Linked DNA regions of Stegostoma tigrinum. The protein of the gene in region 1 purifies or fractionates together with the protein of each later gene. This does not show direct contact. Links are inferred from orthologs where the notes say so. Each region holds a gene or a part of one and is shown on either strand. Other genes may lie near its edges.

Region 1 (7,415 bases):
AGAACTCCTGAACTGGTGGCGTTCTCCTTGTCTTGTTCACATCCCCAAACTATCTGAGAACCAATCATGTTGTTGTTGGCAGGCAGAAGACCTTTGTTACTGATGACTAGCCATGGGGCCAGAAACCAATCAGCTGCTTGTACAAACCAAAGCTCCATGTGTACACAACATTTCAGCTTCTCTGCAAACAACATTTTAACCATTGCTGGAAACACCTGCTGTGTAAACAGTGTCCACAATGCATGTCCGCTTATTTGCTTCAAAACATGTAGCAATCATAAAATCCCTACAGCAGGCCATTCAGCCCATCGTGTCCACACCAACCCAGCCGATCACTGTAACCCTGCGTTTCCCATGGCTAATCCATGAGCCTCCATACTCCTGGAAACTGTGAGCAATTTAGAATGGCCAATCCACTCAATCTGCACATCTTTGGGCTGTGGGAGGAAACTGGAGCAGAGACACAGGGAGATCGTGCAAACTCCAAACCGACAATTGCCTGAGGGTGGAATCGAACCCGGGTCCCTGATGCAGTGCCAACCACTGTGCCACCTACTCATTGTTACTTTCTCATTTCAGTCCACAAGTAAAAATATAGAAGAATAAACAAGTAGGGTCCTTATTAGGCAGGAGAAGAGAGGACCCAATGGTGTTAATAATCAGAAACTTCATTCAAATGCACAAGCAGACAGGCACAAGGGTAGCATGCATGTTTACCTGAGACACCAGGTGACCTGACACGAGGGGTGGCACGGTGGTTCAGTGGTTAGTATTGCTGCCTCACAGCGCCAGGGACCCGGATTCGAGTCCAGTCTCGGGCGACTGTCTGTGTGGAGTTTGCATGTTCTCCCCGTGTCTGCGTGGGTTTCCTCTGGGTGCTCCGGTTTCCTCCCACAGCCCAAAGATGTGCAGGCTGGGTGGATTGGCCAATCTAAATTGCCTGTAGTGTTCAGGGATGCGTATATTAGGTGGTTTATAGGGGGATGGGTCTGGGTGGGATGCTCTGAGGGTCAATGTGGACTTGTTGGGCTGAAGGGCCTGTTTCCACACTGTAGGGCTATGAAGGGCTACAGCCACACCATCAGAAATCTGCTGTCTCAGGCATGTGATTGTCTCAGAGCAGTCTCAAAGTCTGCTGGATATGTGGCCAGACCTGAACTCTCAGAGATAGTAGGAACTGCTGGTGAATCTGAGATAACAAGGTGTAGAGCTGGATGAGCACTCCAGGCCAAGCAGCATCAGAGGAGCAGGAAGGCTGACATTTCAACCTATTTCTGAAGAAGGGTCTAGGCCTGAAACGTCACCTTTTCTGTTCCTCTGATGCTGCTTGGCCTGCTGCATTCATCCAGCTCTACACCTTGTTAACTTAGATTCTCCAGCATCTGCAATTCCTACTATCTCTGATAGAGTTCTGGTCTGTCCACATATCCAGCAACTCCATCAGCGTAGCCACTGGTCTTCAGCAACAGTAAGGCAATAGGGGCAAGAGGAACTTTGAGCTCACTCCAGTCATCCCTTCCTCTCATAGAGACTAGATGGAGGACGAACCACATACTGACCTTCAGAAGTCTTCTAACAGGGAACTCCAGAAGTAGCGGGGTCTTCCTGCTTCACCTTGCCTGCTACCTTCAGACCAAAAGGAGTCTAAGTCAAAGAGGGTGCAGTTGTCTCTTGAAAGGGCATACTGAACATGTCTGGGCTGAGGCCCCCTGGGGCCATCCAGCCAAACTGACAAAGCCAATGGGCTCCAGTATACAGCAGGCTTCCTCCAAACCAGGGACTGCACTGACAGGTAGTGGGAGGGAAAGAAATAAGACCTATTGAGGGTTGTATTGGTAGCACGGGTGACACGTCGTTGTAAATAAGTTCTCACTTTTGTAAATGTGTATTCACTTGTCACTGTCATCTGTTTGTGTATCTCTGTGCATCTGCAAATGCAACGCTGCAGGTACTGCCTCAGCTACCTAGAATACACCTCCTCCCACCCACCCTCCTGCAAAAATTCCATCCCCTATTCCCAATTCCTCCGCCTCCGTCGCATCTGCTCCCACGATAAGACATTCCACTCCCGCACATCCCAGATGTCCAAGTTCTTCAAGGACCGCAACCTCCCCCCCACAGTGATCGAGAACGCCCTTGACCACGTCTCCCGCATTTCCCGCAACACATCCCTCACACCCCGCCCCCGCCACAACCGCCCAAAGAGGATCCCCCTCGTTCTCACACACCACCCCACCAACCTCCGGATACAACGCATCATCCTCCGACACTTCCACCATCTACAATCCGACCCCACCACCCAAGACATTTTTCCATCCCCACCCCTGTCTGCTTTCCGGAGAGACCACTCTCTCCGTGACTCCCTTGTTCGCTCCACACTGCCCTCCAACCCCACCACACCCGGCACCTTCCCCTGCAACCACAGGAAATGCTACACTTGCCCCCACACCTCCTCCCTCACCCCCATCCCAGGGCCCAAGATGACATTCCACATTAAGCAGAGGTTCACCTGCACATCTGCCAATGTGGTATACTGCATCCACTGTACCCGGTGTGGCTTCCTCTACATTGGGGAAACCGAGCGGAGGCTTGGGGACCGCTTTGCAGAACACCTCCGCTCGGTTCGCAACAAACAACTGCACCTCCCAGTCGCAAACCATTTCCACTCCCCCTCCCATTCTCTAGATGACATGTCCATCATGGGCCTCCTGCAGTGCCACAATGATGCTACCCGAAGGTTGCAGGAACAGCAACTCATATTCTGCTTGGGAACCCTGCAGCCGAATGGTATCAATGTGGACTTCACCAGCTTCAAAATCTCCCCTTCCCCCACCGCATCCCTAAACCAGCCCAGTTCGTCCCCTCCCCCCACTGCACCACACAACCAGCCCAGCTCTTCCCCTCCACCCACTGTAACCCAAAACCAGTCCAACCTGTCTCTGCCTCCCTAACTGTTCTTCATCTCACCCATCCCTTCCTCCCACCCCAAGCCGCACCTCCATATCCTACCTACTAACCTCATCCCACCTCCTTGACCTGTCCGTCTTCCCTGGACTGACCTATCCCCTCCCTACCTCCCCACCTCCCCACCTATACTCTCCTCTCCACCTATCTTCTTTACTCTCCATCTTCGGTCCGCCTCCCCCTCTCTCCCTATTTATTCCAGTTCCCTCTCCCCATCCCCCTCTCTGATGAAGGGTCTAGGCCCGAAACGTCAGCTTTTGTGCTCCCGAGATGCTGCTGGGTCTGCTGTGTTCATCCAGCCTCACATTTTATTATCTTGGATTCTCCAGCATCTGCAGTTCCCATTATCTCACTGCAGGTACTAATGCCCCACATCCCTACCACTAGGTAATGTGCCATGGACCAGGGTGCAAAGTGAACAGCTGCTGGCAATGGGTGAATTGCAGATACCGGTGACTTTGGCAACTGGACTCCATCTTGCAGTTGCACAAACACTGCTACTGCATTTGTGTGGTTCAATCGTCATCATGTCATGCTGCATAAGCAACAAGTGTGGGGAGATTGGGACGGCTGACGTGGAGGCGTGGTGAAGGGAGATGGTGAGGGTGATGGGGAGGGGAGATGAGAAGGAGATGGTGAGGGGTTAATGAAGAGGGGATGGTGAAGGGATGATGGGGGGAATGAGGAGGGAATGGTGAGGGGGTGATGGTGAGAGGGGAATGTGGAGAGGGATGTGGACGGGATAGTGAGGGGAATGGGGAGGGGACGGTGTGAGGGGCATGGGGAGGGGATGGTGGGAGGGGGATAGTGAGGGGGGATGGGGAAGAAATGGTGAGGGGGAAAGTGGAGGGGATAGTGAGGGGGATGTGGAGGGGATAGTGAGGGCAATGGGATAGTGAAGGGGGATGGTGAGTGGGGAATGGGGAGGGGACGGTGAGAGGGGAATGGGGAGGGGATGGTGGGAGGGGGATAGTGAGGGGGGATGGGGAAGAAATGGTGAGGGGGAAAGTGGAGGGGATAGGGGAGGGGATAGTGAGGAGGGACGGTGGGATAGTGAAGGGGGATGGTGAGTGGGGAATGGGGAGGGACGGTGAGGGGGAATGGGGAGGGGATGGTGGGAGGGGGATAGTGAGGGGGGGTGGGGAAGAAATGGGGGGTGGGGAAGAAATGGTGAGGGGGAAAGTGGAGGGGATAGTGAGGGCAATGGGATAGTGAAGGGGGATGGTGAGTGGGGAATGGGGAGGGGACGGTGAGAGGGGGATAGTGAGGGGGGAGTGGGGATGGGATGGAGATGGTGAGGGGGGAGAACGGAGGGGACGGGACTGTGTTGGCATGGGGATGGTGGGGGAAGGGAGCGGGCCGAATGCGGGTCCTCCGCCAATCAGACGCCGGGGTTTGGGTGCGGGGGTGGGGCCGGGGCTCACACGTGACTGCAGCTATTTCCGTTAGTTGTGGCGCGAGGCAGCGGCCATTTTGTCTGAGCGCGAGGAGTTGGAGGGAGCGAGCAGGTACCGTGACCGGGGAGGAACCGATAAGGATTAGGGACCCCCCACCATCCCCCTCGCCGGGCTAGTGAGTTACAGGCCGGGAATCGGGGGAGGGGTAAGGTAGGAGGCGGCAGGCGGGCATGAATCACGGCGTGGGCTGGGTCGGTGGGGATCGGCCCTCAGGGTCTCTTGTCCCCGGGCCTGCCGTGAGAGTGCTGCCCGGAGAGCGGCTCTGGGTCAGCCTCTGCCTCCGTGTGTGTATATTATATATATATATATATATATATATGTGTGTGTGTGTGGGTAGGGAAGTGTCAGGAAGTTCAGCCTCTTCCCGGGGCCGTCCTCGGGTGGGGCTCGGCGCCTCTGCCGCCATTTTCTCGGCAGAGACTGAGAACAAAGAGAGCGGCGGTCCCTGGGCCCTGACCCCCGGCCCGGCGGCCAGTACTCGGACTCAACCGGATCCGGGGCATCGCTGGACGCTCGGCGGCGTCAGCGCCGTGTCCTACCCGATCTTGCTAAACACCCACCACACCACCATCTCTCTTCTCTCTTTCCCCCCCCCCCCTCCGATAATCAGGCATTCCCTTCTACCACACACCCCCCCCCCCATACACAGGCATTCCCTTCTACCACACACCCCCCCCCCCATACACAGGCATTCCCTTCTACCACACACCCCCCCCCCCATACATAGGCATTCCCTTCTACCACACACACACACACCCCCATACATAGGCATTCCCTTCTACCACACCCCCCCCCCCCATACATAGGCATTCCCTTCTACCACACACCCCCCCCATACATAGGCATTCCCTTCTACCACACACACACCCCCCCCATACATAGGCATTCCCTTCTACCACACACCCCCCCCCCCATACACAGGCATTCCCTTCTACCACACACCCCCCCCCCATACATAGGCATTCCCTTCTACCACACACACCCCCCCCCATACATAGGCATTCCCTTCTACCACACATCCCCCCACCCCATACACAGGCATTCCCTTCTACCACACACCCCCCACCCCATACACAGGCATTCCCTTCTACCACACACCCCCCACCCCATACACAGGCATTCCCTTCTACCACACACCCCCCCCCCCCATACATAGGCATTCCCTTCTACCACACACACCCCCCCCCCCCCCATACATAGGCATTCCCTTCTACCACACATCCCCCCACCCCATACACAGGCATTCCCTTCTACCACACACCCCCCCCCCCATACATAGGCATTCCCTTTTACCACACATCCCCCCACCCCATACACAGGCACTCCCTTCTACCACACACCCCCCACCCCATACACAGGCATTCCCTTCTACCACACACCCCCCCCCCATACACAGGCATTCCCTTCTACCACACCCCCCCCCCCATACACAGGCATTCCCTTCTACCACACACCCCCCCCCCCCATACATAGGCATTCCCTTCTACCACACACACCCCCCCCCCCATACATAGGCATTCCCTTCTACCACACATCCCCCCACCCCATACACAGGCATTCCCTTCTACCACACACCCCCCACCCCATACACAGGCATTCCCTTCTACCACACACCCCCCCCCCCATACACAGGCATTCCCTTCTACCACACCCCCCCCCCATACACAGGCATTCCCTTCTACCACACCCCCCCCATACACAGGCATTCCCTTCTACCACACCCCCCCCCCCCCCATACACAGGCATTCCCTTCTACCACACACCCCCCACCCCATACACAGGCATTCCCTTCTACCACACACCCCCCACCCCATACACAGGCATTCCCTTTCCCCTTTCTACCCCCCCCCATACACAGGCATTCCCTTCTACCACACACCCCCCCATACACAGGCATTCCCTTGTCCAAAGGCATGACCTTTGCCATTGTGACTTAATTTCTCTGGTCCAAATATGGAGGCAGCTAATGATCCACTAGTTCATGAAGCGTTTGATTTTGTAGCTGTCCCAGTGACAGACTAGCCACTTGAAGGTGTTCAGGTGAAATATTGATCTGTTGTATCCAAGATCTGTTTGGTTTTGTCTGCAAGCTGCTTTAGCAACATTTTAAGCTAACTCATCCCAACTCCTTGTTCACTTCTCAGAATATCTGTGCTGAATATTTGATTACATATGTTTTGCTTTGTAGAGTTTTGCAGCTGTTTCCACAGATATTGGTCTGAAATTACTTGGTTTGTAGTGGTTTCAGGATTCCTCCTGTGGGATAGTAAGCGTTGCATTACTCTCTCTAGACCCTTTGTGTGACTTTAAGGGGGTCAGCAGTGCAATGGACATGTGAAATGTGAAGCAGTTTCATACTTGCATGCAAGTGCTGTGACTGGATACTGGACTTTCTGTGGGGTTTGGTGTCCATTTAAAACATATCTTTTAATGACCTCCATATTGCCATTATACTGATGTTGAGGGATTCCAGATTAATTCCTGAATTATTTAAAGTGCTCATTGTGTTGCTTGTTTTTCGAGGTTTTAAATGTCTATAATGACTCAAGGTTGGCAGAATGTGTAGAATCTGTTAACTAAATTTTTAAAATTTGTATCTTGTATTCCAGCCATGAATCATGGTTCATGTCCTCTTGACTGCAAGGTGTACGTAGGAAACCTTGGAAACAATGGAAATAAGACAGAGCTTGAGAGATCATTTGGATATTATGGCCCTCTCCGCAGTGTATGGGTTGCCCGGAATCCACCTGGATTTGCATTTGTTGAGTTCGAAGATCCGCGAGATGCTTCGGATGCAGTCAGAGAACTTGATGGAAGGTAATTATTTCCCTCCCTAAAGTTGGTGTCATTCCCTTTTGAGTTGTCTTCACAGCTTTTGTTGCATACTTCCCAAAACTGATTCTGAGAAGCAGTCAGATCAATGTGCTGTTGATGAATGGAGACATTTTATGGACATGTGGAACTGCTCCATCTAATGGCCAGAGTGAGATTGCA
Region 2 (7,061 bases), on another chromosome or scaffold:
GTTGCGGGGTTCTGTGTAGGGGAGGGGGATGTGTTTGGGATGTTGCTGGGTTCTGTGTCGGGGAAGGGGGTGTATTTGGGATGTTGCTGGGTTCTGTGTCGGGGAGGGAGATGTGTTTGGGATGTTGCTGGGTTCTGTGTCGGGGAGGGGGGCGTATTTGGGATGTTGCTGGGTTCTGTGTTGGGGAGGGGGGTGTATTTGGGATGGTGTGGGGTTCTGCTTTGGGGAGGGGGATGCGCTTGGGATGTTGCTGGGTTCTGTGTGGGGGAGGGGGATGTGTTTGGGATGTTGCGGGGTTCTGTGTAAGGGAGGGGGATGTGTTTGGAATGTTGCGGGGTTCTGTGTGGGGAGGGGGATGTATTTGGGATGTTGCTGGGTTCTGTGTGGGGAGGGGGGTGTATTTGGGATGTTGCTGGGTTCTGTGTCGGGGAGGGGGGTGTATTTGGGATGTTGCAGGGTACTGCTTTGGGGAGGGGGGTGTGTTTGGGATGTTGCTGGGTTCTGTGTCGGGGAGGGGGGTGTATTTGGGATGTTGCTGGGTTCTGTGTGGGGAGGGGGGTGTATTTGGGACGTTGCTGGGTTCTGTGTCGTGGAGGTGGGTGTATTTGGGATGTTGCGGGGTTCTGTGTGGGGGAGGGGTGTGTGTTTAGGATGTTGCGGGGTTCTGTGTGGGGGTGGGGGGTGGGTTTGGGATGTTGCGGGGTTCTGTGTAGGGGAGGGGGATGTGTTTGGGATGTTGCGGTGTTCTGTGTCGGGGAAGGGGGTGTATTTGGGATGTTGCTGGGTTCTGTGTCGGGGAGGGCGGTGTATTTGGGATGTTGCTGAGTTCTGTGTTGGGGAGGGGGTTGTATTTGGGATGGTGCGGGGTTCTGCTTTGGAGAGGGGGATGTGCTTGGGATGTTGCTGGGTTCTGTGTGGGGGAGGGGGATGTGTTTGGGATGTTGCGGGGTTCTGTGTAAGGGAGGGGGATGTGTTTGGGATGTTGCGGGGTTCTGAATGGAGGAGGCGAATGTGTTTGGGATGATGCAGGGTTATGTGTGGGGAGGGGGGTGTATTTGGTATGTTGCTGGGTTCTGTGTGGGGAGAGGGGTGTATTTGGGATGTTGCGGGGTTCTGTGTTGGGGAGCGGGGTGTATTTGGGATGTTGCTAGGTTCTGTGTGGGGGAGGGGGATGTGTTTGGGATGTTGCGGGGTTCTGTGTAAGGGAGGGGGATGTGTTTGGAATGTTGCGGGGTTCTGTGTGGGGAGGGGGGTGTATTTGGGATGTTGCGGGGTTCTGTGTTGGGGAGCGGGGTGTATTTGGGATGTTGCGGGGTTCTGCTTTGGGGAGGGGGTGTGTTTGGGATGTTGCTAGGTTCTGTGTGGGGGAGGGGGATGTGTTTGGGATGTTGCGGGGTTCTCTGTAAGGGAGGGGGATGTGTTTGGGATGTTGCGGGGTTCTGTGTAGGGGAGGGGGATGTGTTTGGGATGTTGCTGGGTTCTGTGTAGGGGAGGGGGATGTGTTTGGGATGTTGCGAGGTTCTGAATGGAGGAGGCGAATGCGTTGGGGATGATGCAGGGTTATGTGTGGGGGAGGAGGGTGTATTTGGGATGTTGCTGGGTTCTGTGTGGGGGAGGGGGATGTATTTGGGATGTTGCTGGGTTCTGTGTCGGGGAGGGGGGTGTATTTGGGATGTTGCTGGGTTCTGTGTGGGGGAGGGGGTGTGTTTGGGATGTTGCTGGGTTCTGTGTGGGGGAGGGGGATGTGTTTGGGATGTTGCGGGGTTCTGTGTAAGGGAGGGGGATGTGTTTGGGATGTTGCGGTGTTCTGTGTAGGGGAGGGGGATGTGTTTGGGATGTTGCTGGGTTCTGTGTATGGGAGGGGGATGTGTTTGGGATGTTGCGGGGTTCTGAACGGAGGAGGCGAATGCATTGGGGATGATGCAGGGTTATGTGTGGGGCAGGAGGGTGTATTTGGGATGTTGCTGGGTTCTGTGTGGGGGAGGGGGATGTATTTGCGATGTTGCTGGGTTCTGTGTCGGGGAGGGGGGTGTATTTGGGATGTTGCTGGGTTCTGTGTGGGGGAGGGGGTGTGTTTGGGATGTTGCTGGGTTCTGTGTGGGGAGGGGGTTGTATTTGGGATGTTGCTGGGTTCTGTGTCGGGGAGGGTGATGTATTTGGGATGTTGCGGGGTTCTGCTTTGTGGAGGGGGGTGTATTTGGGATGTTGCTGGGTTCTGTGTGGGGGAGCGGGATGTATTTGCGATGTTGCTGGGTTCTGTGTCGGGGAGGGGGGTGTATTTGGGATGTTGCTGGGTTCTGTGTGGGGGAGGGGGTGTGTTTGGGATGTTGCTGGGTTCTGTGTGGGGAGGGCGTTGTATTTGGGATGTTGCTGGGTTCTGTGTCGGGGAGGGGGATGTATTTGGGATGTTGCGGGGTTCTGCTTCGGGGAGGGGGGTGTATTTGGGATGTTGCGGGGTTCTGTGTCGGGGAGGGGGATGTATTTGGGATGTTGCGGGGTTCTGTGTCGGGGAGGGGGATGTATTTGGGATGTTGCGGGGTTCTGTGTCGGGGAGGGGGATGTATTTGGGATGTTGCGGTGTTCTGTGTCGGGGAGGGGGATGTATTTGGGATGTTGCGGGGTTCTGTGTCGGGGAGGGGGGTGTATTTGGGATGTTGCGGTGTTCTGTGTGGGGGAGGGGGATGTATTTGGGATGTTGCTGGGTTCTGTGTCGGGGAGGGGGATGTATTTGGGATGTTGCGGTGTTCTGTGTCGGGGAGGGGGATGTATTTGGGATGTTGCGGGGTTCTGTGTCGGGGAGGGGGGTGTATTTGGGATGTTGCGGTGTTCTGTGTGGGGGAGGGGGATGTATTTGGGATGTTGCGGTGTTCTGTGTCAGGGAGGGGGATGTATTTGGGATGTTGCGGGGTTCTGTGTCGGGGAGGGGTGTGTATTTGGGATGTTGCGGTGTTCTGTGTGGGGGAGGGGGATGTATTTGGGATGTTGCGGGGTTCTGTGTCGGGGAGGGGGATGTATTTGGGATGTTGCGGGGTTCTGTGTCGGGGAGGGGGGTGTATTTGGGATGTTGCGGGGTTCTGTGTCGGGGAGGGGGGTGTATTTGGGATGTTGCTGGGTTCTGTGTCGGGGAGGGGGGTGTATTTGGGATGTTGCGGGGTTCTGTGTCGGGGAGGGGGGTGTATTTGGGATGTTGCGGGGTTCTGTGTCGGGGAAAGGGGTGTGTTTGGGATGTTGCGGGGTTCTGTGTCGGGGAGGGGGATGTATTTGGGATGTTGCGGGGTTCTGTTTGGGGGAAAGGGGTGTGTTTGGGATGTTGCGGGGTTCTGTGTCGGGGAGGGGGGTGTATTTGGGATGTTGCGGGGTTCTGTGTCGGGGAGGGGGGTGTATTTGGGATGTTGCTGGGTTCTGTGTCGGGGAGGGGGGTGTATTTGGGATGTTGCTGGGTTTTGTGTGGGGGAAAGGGGTGTGTTTGGGATGTTGCGGTGTTCTGTGTCGGGGAGGGGGGTGTATTTGGGATGTTGCGGGGTTCTGTGTGGGGGAGGGGGGTGTATTTGGGATGTTGCTGGGTTCTGTGTCGGGGAGGGGGGTGTATTTGGGATGTTGCTGGGTTCTGTGTGGGGGAAAGGGGTGTGTTTGGGATGTTGCTGGGTTCTGTGTGGGGGAAAGGGGTGTGTTTGGGATGTTGCGGTGTTCTGTGTCGGGGAGGGGGGTGTGTTTGGGATGTTGCGGTGTTCTGTGTCGGGGAGAGGGGTGTGTTTGGGATGTTGCGGTGTTCTGTGTCGGGGAGGGGGATGTATTTGGGATGTTGCTGGGTTCTGTGTCGGGGAGAGGGGTGTGTTTGGGATGTTGCGGTGTTCTGTGTCGGGGAGGGGGGTGTGTTTGGGATGTTGCTGCGTTGGTAACGGGGCGTGGGTGTGGGCGGGCTCTGTTTTTCAAGTCCCACCCACCGTTGCTCGCTCCCTCGGGTCAGCTGGGGAACGGCGGAGTACGTGCGCGCCCCGCGTCAGCGTGGGTTCGGCGCGGTGCGTGCGCGCGTACGCTGCTGCCACACGGAGTCCGAGTGCGAGCCCAGCCGCCGCCATGGCCACGCAGGTGCAGAGTCTGCCGTCGCCTCACGGAGCCCAGGCCCCGGAGCAACCGCGTTCGGAGCCGGCCCAGAACTCGGTACACGCCCAGGCCCCGGCATTGCGCCAGGCCGCCGGGCCCGAGCAGGCGTCCTCCCAGACCGGGGCTGGCACCGGCACCAGGCCTGAGGCCAAGCGCCTCATGGCAGCCCCGCCGCCCAAGGTGAACCCGTGGAGTAAAACGGCCTGTGCCGGCGAGTCCGGCGCTCCCAGCCCGGCTCCGCCTGCAGAGCCCGGAGTGGCCTCCGGACCTGGACCAGGGCCCGGCTCCGAGCCCCCGGGACAGGCTGGAGACAGCGCTGAGGAGCAGAGGGCCGGTGGCTGCGGCCGCAGGAAGGAGTTCATCGAGGCGCCCCCGCCCAGAGTCAATCCCTGGACCAGGAGAGTGAGCGGGAGCGGCGTGGAGACCGAGCCAGGTTAGTGCAGGCCCATGAAGGAGAAAGAGGGTGAGGAATCTGTGGCCGGGCCCAAGACTGGGACAGGTGTTGGGGTGGGGTGGGGTTTGATCGATAAGTAAGGGGGTTGCTCAGTCCCCTGCCACCCCCATCTTTAAAACTCCCAGATCCCAAATTTCTTTTCGCCATCCCCAGTCCAAGGATCTGTGGTAGGGGAGTACCCAGTGTCAGATTCAGCTTCCCAGGTCCTATGTTGTGGGTATACTAACCTTCCCTGATTTTAGATCCCGAATCCTTTGCTTCACATCCCTCCCCTGCCCCCGAAGCTCCCAACCAGTGCTCCCAGACATTACTTACTTGTTAGATCTCACCACCGTACCACACCTGAGATTTGGGAGTCCCTGTCTGCAGATCACTCATCTGACTGCACTCACACATCAATTCTTATTCGTCTCTACCTCACTGCTTGATCTGCCAGTTCAGGATTCTTGCTCCAAACCTGTGGACCAGGCATCCCTGTCCACCCGAGCTGAAACTCCTGTTACAAACAATGTTTATGCCCAGGATTTTGTCTTTTTTTCCTGTTGCGTTCTGAGATGCTGTAACGGTGTGATTCATGCTCAACTTTGATCCTTTTGTCATTAGAACAGGATATTATGGGGTAGCTTGACATGTTAAAAGTTACGAAGGGATGGAACAGAGTTTTATGTGACCAGAGGCCATTTAAGAATTGGTTGGTGGTTGATGGAGTGAAGGGTGCTGGGAAATGGTGAGGAGATAGGATCGTGACTGTTGGTGTGGAGAGCATGTGATGCTTTCTTTTCATACCTGTATTCTGTTTCTGCATGCATTTTTACTGTTAGCAACATGTGCACGATTGAGCAAATAGTCTTTTTCTTTGCCAATTAATTGGATGATAAATCTACAAAAAAGTGGAGAAGCTGTTACTCGGGAATGGCTCACATGACCTGTGTGGATTATATGCGACATGGTTTTTTTCTTAACCTAGTTGTGGTATTGTACTTCTCCTTTATTGAGCAATGAAATCATCGAAGCATATTCCTAATACTTAAGGACTGAAATGTAAACTGATACTGGCTTCTGGGCATGGATGATCCTTCCCCAAGACTTGGATCGGTTCTGCATGCAGCAGTGCAGTGAGGAGAAGAGTTAAATGGATACTGGGATACGTTCATCAAGCAATGCACCATTTTTGTTCAAAAAGATTTTTCAGGGTTTTGCCAAAATTCTGAAATGGGTGTCATCTTGAGTGTTTATTGCAGATAAAGTTGAAGTTGAATGTCGGCGTACTGAAAAACTAACGCAAAATTCTGGAATACACACCAATTTAGTTGGAATCTGAAAGACAGCGGTCATGGTTTAGGGTGGAGACATTGTCACAAATGAATGTATGTCTGAAGCTCTGTTTTCATCCGGACATTAGCCTGTTCTTTCTGATTAATGTCGGTGATTCTGAAGCACTTTTTAAATCAGTCCCTGATCTTAAAACCTGTTCACATGAAGCATGTTGCTCTGCTTCTAGTTACCAATCTTCTGTGAATGATAACACTGCACGTTGGAACAGAACCATGTCCTGCATAAACTACTCATCTGGGACCCTAGCACTGTGACACAGGTTCATGTTTACAATGGAGAAATAATAGAACATAGAACGTTACAGCACAGTACAGGCCCTTCGGCCCTTGATGTTGTGCTGACCTGTCATACCGATCTCAAGCCCATCTAACCTACACTATTCCGTGTATGTCCATATGCTTATCCAATGAGGACTTAAATGTACCTAAATCTTCTTTTATTTACATAGTGCCTGACCATGATTCCAGGTTGCCCAAAGCGCACTTGCAGCAAAAATTACTTCGGAAGTACGACTCCAGTCATATTGGCAAATATGGCAGCCAGGTTATGTGATCAAAAACAGTACTTTTGAGTTCTTCTACATGGTGAAACATTCCAAGGCACTTCACGAGAGCAAGAAAGTTTTGGATGCCCAGCCACTAGACATATTAGACCAGAAGAGAGATGTTTTACACACTGTCTTGAAGCAAGAGAGGGATGGAGAGGTTTAAGGAGGGAATTCCAGAAAATATAGTTTCTGCAGCTGAATGCACAGTTGCCAGTAGTTCATTGTAAAACCTGGAGATACTCTAGACCAGAATTGGAGGAGTGCACGTAAATGGGTTACAGAAACACGTTTGCATTTATATAGCATCTTACATCACCATAGGATGCTCCAAAGAATTTACAATTTACAAAGCACTTTTTGAAGTATAATTATTGTAAAACTGTGCAGCAAAATTGTGCGCAGCAAGATCCCTCAAGTAACTACTTTTCATTTGATTGGAGGGTAAATATTGTCCATGCACTGGGGTAACTCCCATGCTCTTCAATATGATGCAATAGGAACATTTACATCTACATGGGAGGATAGGAGGGGCCCCAGATATAATGCTTCATCCAAAAGACATTAACTCTGACATTGCAACATTTCTTCGTATTGCATTAGGTTACCAACCGAGATGTTTAT
Region 3 (7,996 bases), on another chromosome or scaffold:
AAAGAAACAGATTTTGATTTGATTTATTATTGTCACGTACTGAAATACAGTGAAAAGTATTTCCTTTAACATTTCACCTTGTGGGAGAGACCAGAATCAGGGGAAAATAAGGCGTCTTGCACTTAACATGGAGATGAGGAGTGTATTTTTTTTGCTGTCAGTCATTAGTCTGTGGAGCCTGCTTCACCAGAGAATGGTCAAGGCTGGGTCATTGAATATAAAGGTTGCGTCAAGTAGGCTCCTGATGAATACACAGCCAAAAAGAACATTTCTAGTACAGACGGAAAGTGCAGCCGAGTCTACAATCAGATTAGCCACAATGTTATTGAATGATTGAGCAGGACAAAGAGGCCTACTTCATATGGTTGCATATTATGTTGTGTGGCGCTTGGGAACTGGGAGGTAAGGGAGTTGGTACTTAGATCAAGTGGCAGAAGAAACTGACTGTCGCAGACAGGCAGGTCTATATTTCATGGCTCTGGCGAAGACATGGGGAAGATACAGAAAAGATTTACCAGGTATGGAAATTTTGACTTATAAGGTAACACTTGATAGGTTGGGACGTTTTTCACTGGAGCGTAGGAGTTGACAGGCAACATTATAGAAGTTTATAAAACAATGAGGTTGTATAGATAGAGTTAATGGTAGTTGTCTTTTCCCTAGGAAGGGGGTCTTCAAGACTAGGGAACAAATTTTAAGGTGAGAGGAAAAAGATTTAAAAAAAAACGAGGGGCAAGTTTTTCATAGAGGGTGGTTCACGTGTGGAATGAACTTCCTGAGGAAGAGGTGGATGCGGGTACAATTACAATATTTAAAAGACATTTGGATACGGACATGAATAGGAAATGTTTGCAGGGATATGGGCCGGGAGCAGGCAGGTGGGAGTAGTTTAGTTTGGGATGATGTTCAGCATGGGCTGGTTAGACCAAAGGGTCTATTTCCATGCTGTATGACTCTATGACATTTAAGATTACATCGATCATCTGAAACTAAGAACTTTTGCACATGGGCCGCAGGCTGCTGACCAGCACTTCCTCAAAGACAACGAGAGATGGGCAAAAAGATGCTGGCCTCACCAGCAACACCCACTTCCAGCGAATTAATAATTTTCTAACTTGGTTTTACACCGTCTCTAGTGGCAGGAGCATCGGAAACCGGCGCGGGGTGGGGGGGGGGCAGATATTTGGAAATAATTACCAAAGAAATTAAGGACAATAGGTGAGAAAATTCCTTCTTTTTATGCAAGCAAATTGTTGTGATCTGGAACGCATTGCCAGAAAAGGAAATAGAGAAGATTCAATACTTTTGTCCATGGTGTCTACCATCACCTTTAACTCTCGAGGTGAGAGCAAGGAGTCAGCTCCTAAATCTACTTGATCTAAACTGGGAATCAATCTAAACCATGCGCTAAAAATCTAGCCAATTTAGCTAAACAGCCCCCGCAGTGGTTTTGTTACTGAATTTATAAGATATATAGAATCCCTATGGTGTGGAAGCAGGCCATTTGGCCCATCACGTCCACACCGACCCTTCAAAGAGCATACCACCCAGACCCAGCCTATTCCTATAACAGGCAGCTCCGTGGTTAGCACTGCTGCCTCACAGTGCCGGGCTCCTGGGCTCAATTCCACGCTCGGGTGGCCGTCTATGTGGAGTTTAGACATTTTCCCCATGTCTGTGTGTGTCCTCCGGGTGCCCTGGTTTCCTCTCACAGTCCAAATATGTGCAGGCTAAGTGGATTTAAAACATAGAACATAGAAAAGTACAGCACAGTACATTTGCCAGGGAAAATTGTCCATAGTGTTGAGGGATGTGTAGATTAGTTGGATTAAAGGAGGATGGGCCTAGGTAGGATCCTCTGAGAATCGGTGTGGACTTGTTGGCATGAAGGGCCTGTTTCCGCATTCTAGGGATTCTATAAAAAATGTGCATTTCCCATGGCGAACCCACCTCGACCACACTCAACACTCTGGACACTATGGGCAACTTAGCATGGCCAATTCACCTTTGGATTGTGGGAGGAAACTGCAGCATCCAGAGGGAACCCATGCAGATACAGGAAAAACATGCAAACTCCACATAGACAGTCACCAGAGGGTGGAATTGAACCTGGGTCACTAATGCTGTGAGGCAGCAGTGCTAACCACAGAATCACCATGCCACCCCAATAATCTCACGACTCGATAAAATCCCACATGAAGAAATTCCAATTTAATCACTCGGGATTAAAATTAGTCACAGGCCGAGCATAAAACTGCTGAATGAAGGGCTCTTGTAGTGTGCATTGGTAGTGACCCCACCTCCAAGTTCAATTCCCAACTACTCCAGAGATTTGTCATAACATGTCTGAACAGGTTGATTAAAATAACCATAACTTTGGAACTCGTTAAAAAAACTCATCTCATTCACTAAGTACGATCACCACAGTGACTGCAAAGGTTTGACAAAGCAGTTTTCATAACCTTTCATGTTCTCAAGGGGATCAACAGACAGTCAGAGAATATTAGCTTTCTTTGTGTTGCCAATTTCCTGAGAAAGAATTTAAAGGAAAAGACTTGTATGTATATGGTACTCTTCACAGCTCATGGTACTTTGCAGCCAATTAAGTACATTAGTCTTTGCGTAATACAAGAAATAGTTTTAACCCATCACAAGTACCATCCAGAACAAATTGTATGAGAAATCCTCCAGCAGCAACTTCCCTCCAAGCTCCATACCACCGTGACTTGGAAATATGTTGTTGTTCCTTCACTGTCGCTGGGTCGAGAATGATATTCCCAGCCCCACATCACTGTCGATGTATCTACAATGTGTGGAGTGAATTTTTAATAAACTTTCAGGGGTGCATCTGAGGCCAGGTTTTGTTGCCCATCTCCAATTGGCCCCAAGTAGAGTGGCTTGATTGACCACTTCAAAGGGCAGTTAAAGAGTCAATCAGATGTTGTCGGCCTGGAGACAGTCAGGGAAGTTAGAGAAGATAAGATTTATACCCTATCTGTCATTGAGTTATACAGCATGGAAAGAGGCCCTTTGGCACATTGCATCTGGGATAATGATCAATCATCCATCTATTCAAATCCCATTTTCAAGCACTTGGACATGCTCATGCAAATAGTTCTTAAATATCTTGAGGGTTCCTGCCTCTACCACCCTGCCTCAGTGAGTTCCAGACATTCTCTACTGTCTAGGAGAAACTTTTATTCCCCAAATCCCTGCTGTGAGTTCCCTTCCAGCGGCCAGCTTTTAGAAACAGAGTAGTTCAGCCAGAGGCTGGGAAATAGACCCAATGTGGCTTTGTTTCTAGTAGGTGAATGCCCAGTGTTTGGAGGTGAGGAGTTTTGTGGGGGGTGGGGTGAGGAGACGGTTGGGGAGAAGGAAATGAGGGGAGATGGGAAGAGAGAGACGGAGGAGAAATGTGTAGGAAGGGGAGTTGGGGAGGATATGTGGGAGATAGGGATAAAGAGATAGAGGAAATAGGAAGAGGGAAGGGGGAAAGAGATGGTGGGATCAGAGATGGGGGTGGGGAGTGGGTAAGAGGAGTTAGAGATGGTGGGATGTGAGAGTTGTGGGAACACGGTTGGGGGTGGTCAGGTAGGTGGGATGTTGACGGGGAGAGACAGTGGGAGGATATTGGGGGCAAGGTTGAAAGATGGGCGGGGGGGACCGCAAGTAGGGGTTAAACGGGGACGGAGGGAGATGAAGGGGTGGGGAGAGGCGTGGAAGTGGAAGGAAACTACAACTCCCATCGGGCACCGCTTCGGGCCACTGTCACGTGATCGCCCCCAACGGATGTCGAGTCGAGCGCCAACCGACAAAAAGACGACGTGAGAGCCCCAGGGCGTCGAACGGAATTTTTTTCTCTAACGATTTCTTCCAACTTCCCCCCTCCACCCCCTCCCAGCAGCCGGCGGGCCTGGCTCTGAGGGTGTCCGCACCCCCGTGAAGTAAACGCCGAGCCTGTGAGACGGCCCCGGTTCCCGTTTGAGAAGTCGGGTTTGTTTTTCGCCGCGCGGAAGGAGGGAGGCGAGCCGCGGCCGGCGCCTGAATGATGGCGGGGAGGGGAAACAAAAACAACACTCCACATCGGGGACGGACGATTGAAAACCCCCGTACACACCATCAGCCCTCCCTCCCTCAGACGACGGCGGGGATTAACCTTGCGTCCCCGCCTTAACAGAACAAGCTTGAGGACTCTCCCTGTCTACTGGGGCTGGGAAACACGTCGAACCAAAACTCAGATGTTACATATTAATTATTATACCTTATTTCTGTTTTTTTAAAAAACAATCTATTTTTTTCCGTCGGTGAGGACGGACGCCTAGGCGGCCCTCCCCTCCCCCACAACCTCCGTGTCCCGCCTTCCAGCGGTTGTGGGGGGAGGGGCGGGGCTAAGGGTGGCTGAAGTCCCGCCCATCCCTTGTATCCGGATTGGCCGGGGCCGGGAAGAGGTTCGCCGCGCGACGCGCTCCCCTTCTGGCCGATTGGTGGGGACGGATGTCTATCAGCCGAGGGGCGGTCCAGCTTGGTTATAAAAGGAGACGCAAGCGCACTGTGAGGGGAGAAAGGGGGGGGAGGGGACAGGGAAAGGGAGAGAGAGGAAAAAAAATAGCGAGTGCGCCTTAGCAGCTCCAAGGGGTGGTGAGCGAGGAAAGGGGGGGGTTTTGAAAAAAAGTGATTTTAATTTTCTTTTAAATAAGTGGGTGGGGGGTGGAGTTCGAAGCGAAAGGGAAGAGGGGGGTGGTGGTGTGAAAAGCAACCGTGTGACTTCCACCGAATGAATAAGCACGGTTCGTCGCTTGCGGATATATTTCCGCTTTAAGTTCCACAAACTTGACAATCGAGGGCTTTAAAGTTGCCATTTTGGATTTTTCGGTCAGGTGGAGGATAGAAAGGACTGGGTTTAGCGGGGGAGGGGTAGAAGCGGGAGTCGATAAACAAAACCCGTGAAGGTTGGTGGTGAGGGGGTGTGGGGGGGAGGGGGTGAGTTGATTGTTCGCTAAGGTCCCAGAATATGAATAATTCATTTATGTTGATGAGACGCGCTGACGTCACGGGCGACGTGGGATTCCGTTAGAGTGCGTAACGGCGACGTCGTGCACTGGTTGCAACTTGGGTGGGGGGAGGGGGAAGGGCTGACTCAGCCCCTGGTGCTTGGGAAGTTGCTGCTGCACTGGGCAAACGGGGGCGCTATCACAGGAGAGAGAGCCAGGCCGACCCACACGCCAGCAACCACCCCCTGTGGCCAAGAGGCTCCCCATGCCGTCTGATGGCGGCGTCGGTCGAGGAAGATTCTGTCAGGGAGGTGACCCTCCTGAAGCCCGAGTACCTGTCTGCCATGGGGGTCGAGGAGCTACACCGCCACCCGGGCAGGGTGCTGACGCCCGTCAGTGAGGAGGTTGCCCTGTCCCCTGGTGCCAAAGATGAGGTTGACAGCGTGGCGGAGCTGAGCCGGCCAAGGAATGGGCTCCAGCCCTTGCAGCAGCAGAGGGCCTTCAAACGGAGGAATAGCTTGAACGTAGGCTTCAAGCACCCCGGGTTCAAGAGGAGGCGCCGCGTCAACTCAGACTGTGACCCGGTGCTGCCCAGCAATTTCCTGCTGGGCGGTAACATCTTTGACCCGCTCAACCTCAACAGCCTGCTGGACGAGGACGTCAACAAGGCTCTTAACGCTGAGACCCCCAAGTCCTCGCCTCTGCCCAGCCGGAACCGCGACCCGGTAGAGATCCTCATCCCCAAGGACATCACCGACCCGCTCAACCTCAACAATGACTCCGAGGTCCTGCCATCGCCCCTCAAGTTGGGCCGCAAGAGGCGACACCGTCATTACCACCACCAGCCTGGCCAGCAACCCCAGTCTGCCACCGCCACCGAATCAGCGGAGAGGAACCAAGTTCTCCCACTGGACCCAAGCTCCCGGGACTGCCTTGTGGGTCAGAACCCAGCAGGAACAAGCGTGGGGCCGGGGTCCTCCGAGGTGCCAACTGAGCCTGAGGGCCCCCAGCCCTACGAGCTCAACACCCTCATTAACTGCAGGGACGAGATTGTGTCACCTGTCCTCCGTGGCTCCGAGCAAGCCCCAACTGGAAGCCGGCATCGCAAGCGGCGCCGGACCGCCAGCAAGTCCGAGCTGGGCAAGATCCCGACCAGCTCGGAGGAAGAGCCGAGGCTGCCAGGTGCGGATGCCAAGAAGCCAATGCCAGAGAAGGCAAAAGGCAAGGCATCTCACCACCACCATCACCAACACCACCAGCAGCAACACAGCTTCCAGCGCCACTCTAGCCTGCACCGTGATGGCAAGGCCCAGCCCAACTTCCAGAGCAAACAGAAGCGGTTCCAGTATGGCAACTACACCAAGTACTACGGCTACCGTAACCCAGGCCGCTGTGAGGACCCCCGGCTCAGCTTCTTCAAGCCTGAGTGGTTCCAGGGCAAGGACATCTTGGACCTGGGCTGCAACGCGGGCCACCTGACGCTCAGCATCGCCAAAGACTTGAAGCCCTCGCGCATTGTGGGCATCGACATTGACGGTAGCCTCATCCACACGGCCCGACAGAACATCCGCCATTTCCTGTCGCAGGACATGCTGCCGTCGCAGGGCGATGGGCAGGTGAAGAGGCGCTTCCCGCTGTCGCTGACCAAGTGTAAGGGCCCAATCGCTGCCCCACCCGTGGCTGTGGATCGCTGTGTGGCTGAGTTCCCCAATAACGTCACTTTCATCCAGGTGAGTGCATCTGGTATGCTTTTTGTGGAGAAGGGAGTTTCACCTTGGCTACTAATCTTGTAAATTAAACATTTGGCGTTGCAAAAAAGTCCCAAATGACCCCTTGAACCAAACTCCATAGATTAGGGGCACTCAAACGCCATCCGGGGGGCACACCTTCAGTAGATGGCTGTTTACAACCTTAACAGTTGCTTTGTGTTTGTGGAAATGTAAAGATTTTTGGTGTTATCTTGACAATGCACGCATTCTTGAAGCACGCATTACTTTGCAAGTAGGACGTGTAAACAACTTCTTCCCCCCCCCCACCCCCGGCTGTGAATGTTAAGACATGAGAGCATTTCAGGTTTTGTAACCTTGCCCAGGGAGTGCTCCAAACGAAGAGGGCTTTTAAAAGTTTCTCATTCCTGTTGCAGAATGGCTCAGGGCCATTACATGCCTTCAGAACATTCAACTGAGTGTCTGTGAAACTGCGTTTGTGGGTTTTTGAGTCACTTTTAAAATGCTGCTTCTAGCAAAACGACGTTTAGCGTGAGTGTATGTTCCGCCTTTTATTTTAAGCTGACCCTATGTCTTATCAAGTTTTTGTGTCTGCAGCCAGCTGTTCAGCTTTACTAATTTGAAATGGTGGCTACACATGTCTTCTGTATGGTGTACTTGTTGAGTTTGGGGCTGTGGCCTATTCCTGTCCTGCTCTTTCCCCTCTGCGTGAGATTTCCTTGCACTGAAAATCCTGTCACTCGGCATGTTTCTGGTTTGCCCACGAGGAGGTGCCCCTTGTACTGAGCAATCGTTCGTTTCTTTGACTTATGATTTTCACTTCTGGGGTCGAATTGATGAACTTTTATGATTTCAAAACTAAACCCTCGACCACCACCACCCACCACCTGCACTCTCTTTTTTGGGAAAATGAAGTCAACGGATCGCGATAATGCGATTGATGCATTTTAATTTTGAAATTCCTGTTCCTAGTGCCTCCTGCAAACATTGATCTAACAAAGAACTGTAAAAGCCGCTGGAAGTGTGTAACAGATGCAGAAATGCTCAAGAAAATCCTACGGAATAGCATTACACTCTATTTGCAATCAGTTGGTCCAAATGATGAACATTTCTCTTCACATGCAGCGCACCTTTTATCAACCAGTGTCTATGGGACCAGGAGTGTGCTAGTTGATAAAATATTCTGGATAATCGAGAAGTCCACATAATCATTGTAGAAGCATCCACTAAGTAATGGAAACGTGATGCAGGGGGTGTGCATGTCACTGTGAGACTTTA

What was found. The genes of interacting proteins can lie anywhere in the genome.
Region 2: the proteins of serine/arginine-rich splicing factor 3 (region 1) and larp1 purify together in Homo sapiens (co-immunoprecipitation; 3 studies listed by BioGRID and IntAct, with this or other methods). This does not show direct contact. The link is inferred for Stegostoma tigrinum from reciprocal best matches to the Homo sapiens genes SRSF3 and LARP1.
Region 3: the proteins of serine/arginine-rich splicing factor 3 (region 1) and 7SK snRNA methylphosphate capping enzyme-like purify together in Homo sapiens (affinity purification with mass spectrometry; 3 studies listed by BioGRID and IntAct, with this or other methods). This does not show direct contact. The link is inferred for Stegostoma tigrinum from reciprocal best matches to the Homo sapiens genes SRSF3 and MEPCE.

Annotation. Positions count from the first base shown.
Region 1 is NC_081374.1:45,876,061-45,883,475, forward strand, and holds the start of serine/arginine-rich splicing factor 3, read left to right. Parts: upstream 1-4,403; 5' UTR 4,404-4,472; exon of another isoform or gene 4,473-4,536; intron 4,537-7,030; 5' UTR 7,031-7,032; coding exon 7,033-7,238; intron 7,239-7,415. UniProt on the Homo sapiens protein: Splicing factor, which binds the consensus motif 5'-C[ACU][AU]C[ACU][AC]C-3' within pre-mRNA and promotes specific exons inclusion during alternative splicing.
Region 2 is NC_081366.1:13,969,325-13,976,385, reverse strand, and holds the start of larp1 (la-related protein 1), read left to right. Parts: upstream 1-4,051; 5' UTR 4,052-4,077; coding exon 4,078-4,537; intron 4,538-7,061. UniProt on the Homo sapiens protein: RNA-binding protein that regulates the translation of specific target mRNA species downstream of the mTORC1 complex, in function of growth signals and nutrient availability.
Region 3 is NC_081398.1:9,416,939-9,424,934, reverse strand, and holds the start of 7SK snRNA methylphosphate capping enzyme-like, read left to right. Parts: upstream 1-4,986; 5' UTR 4,987-5,266; coding exon 5,267-6,721; intron 6,722-7,996. UniProt on the Homo sapiens protein: S-adenosyl-L-methionine-dependent methyltransferase that adds a methylphosphate cap at the 5'-end of 7SK snRNA (7SK RNA), leading to stabilize it.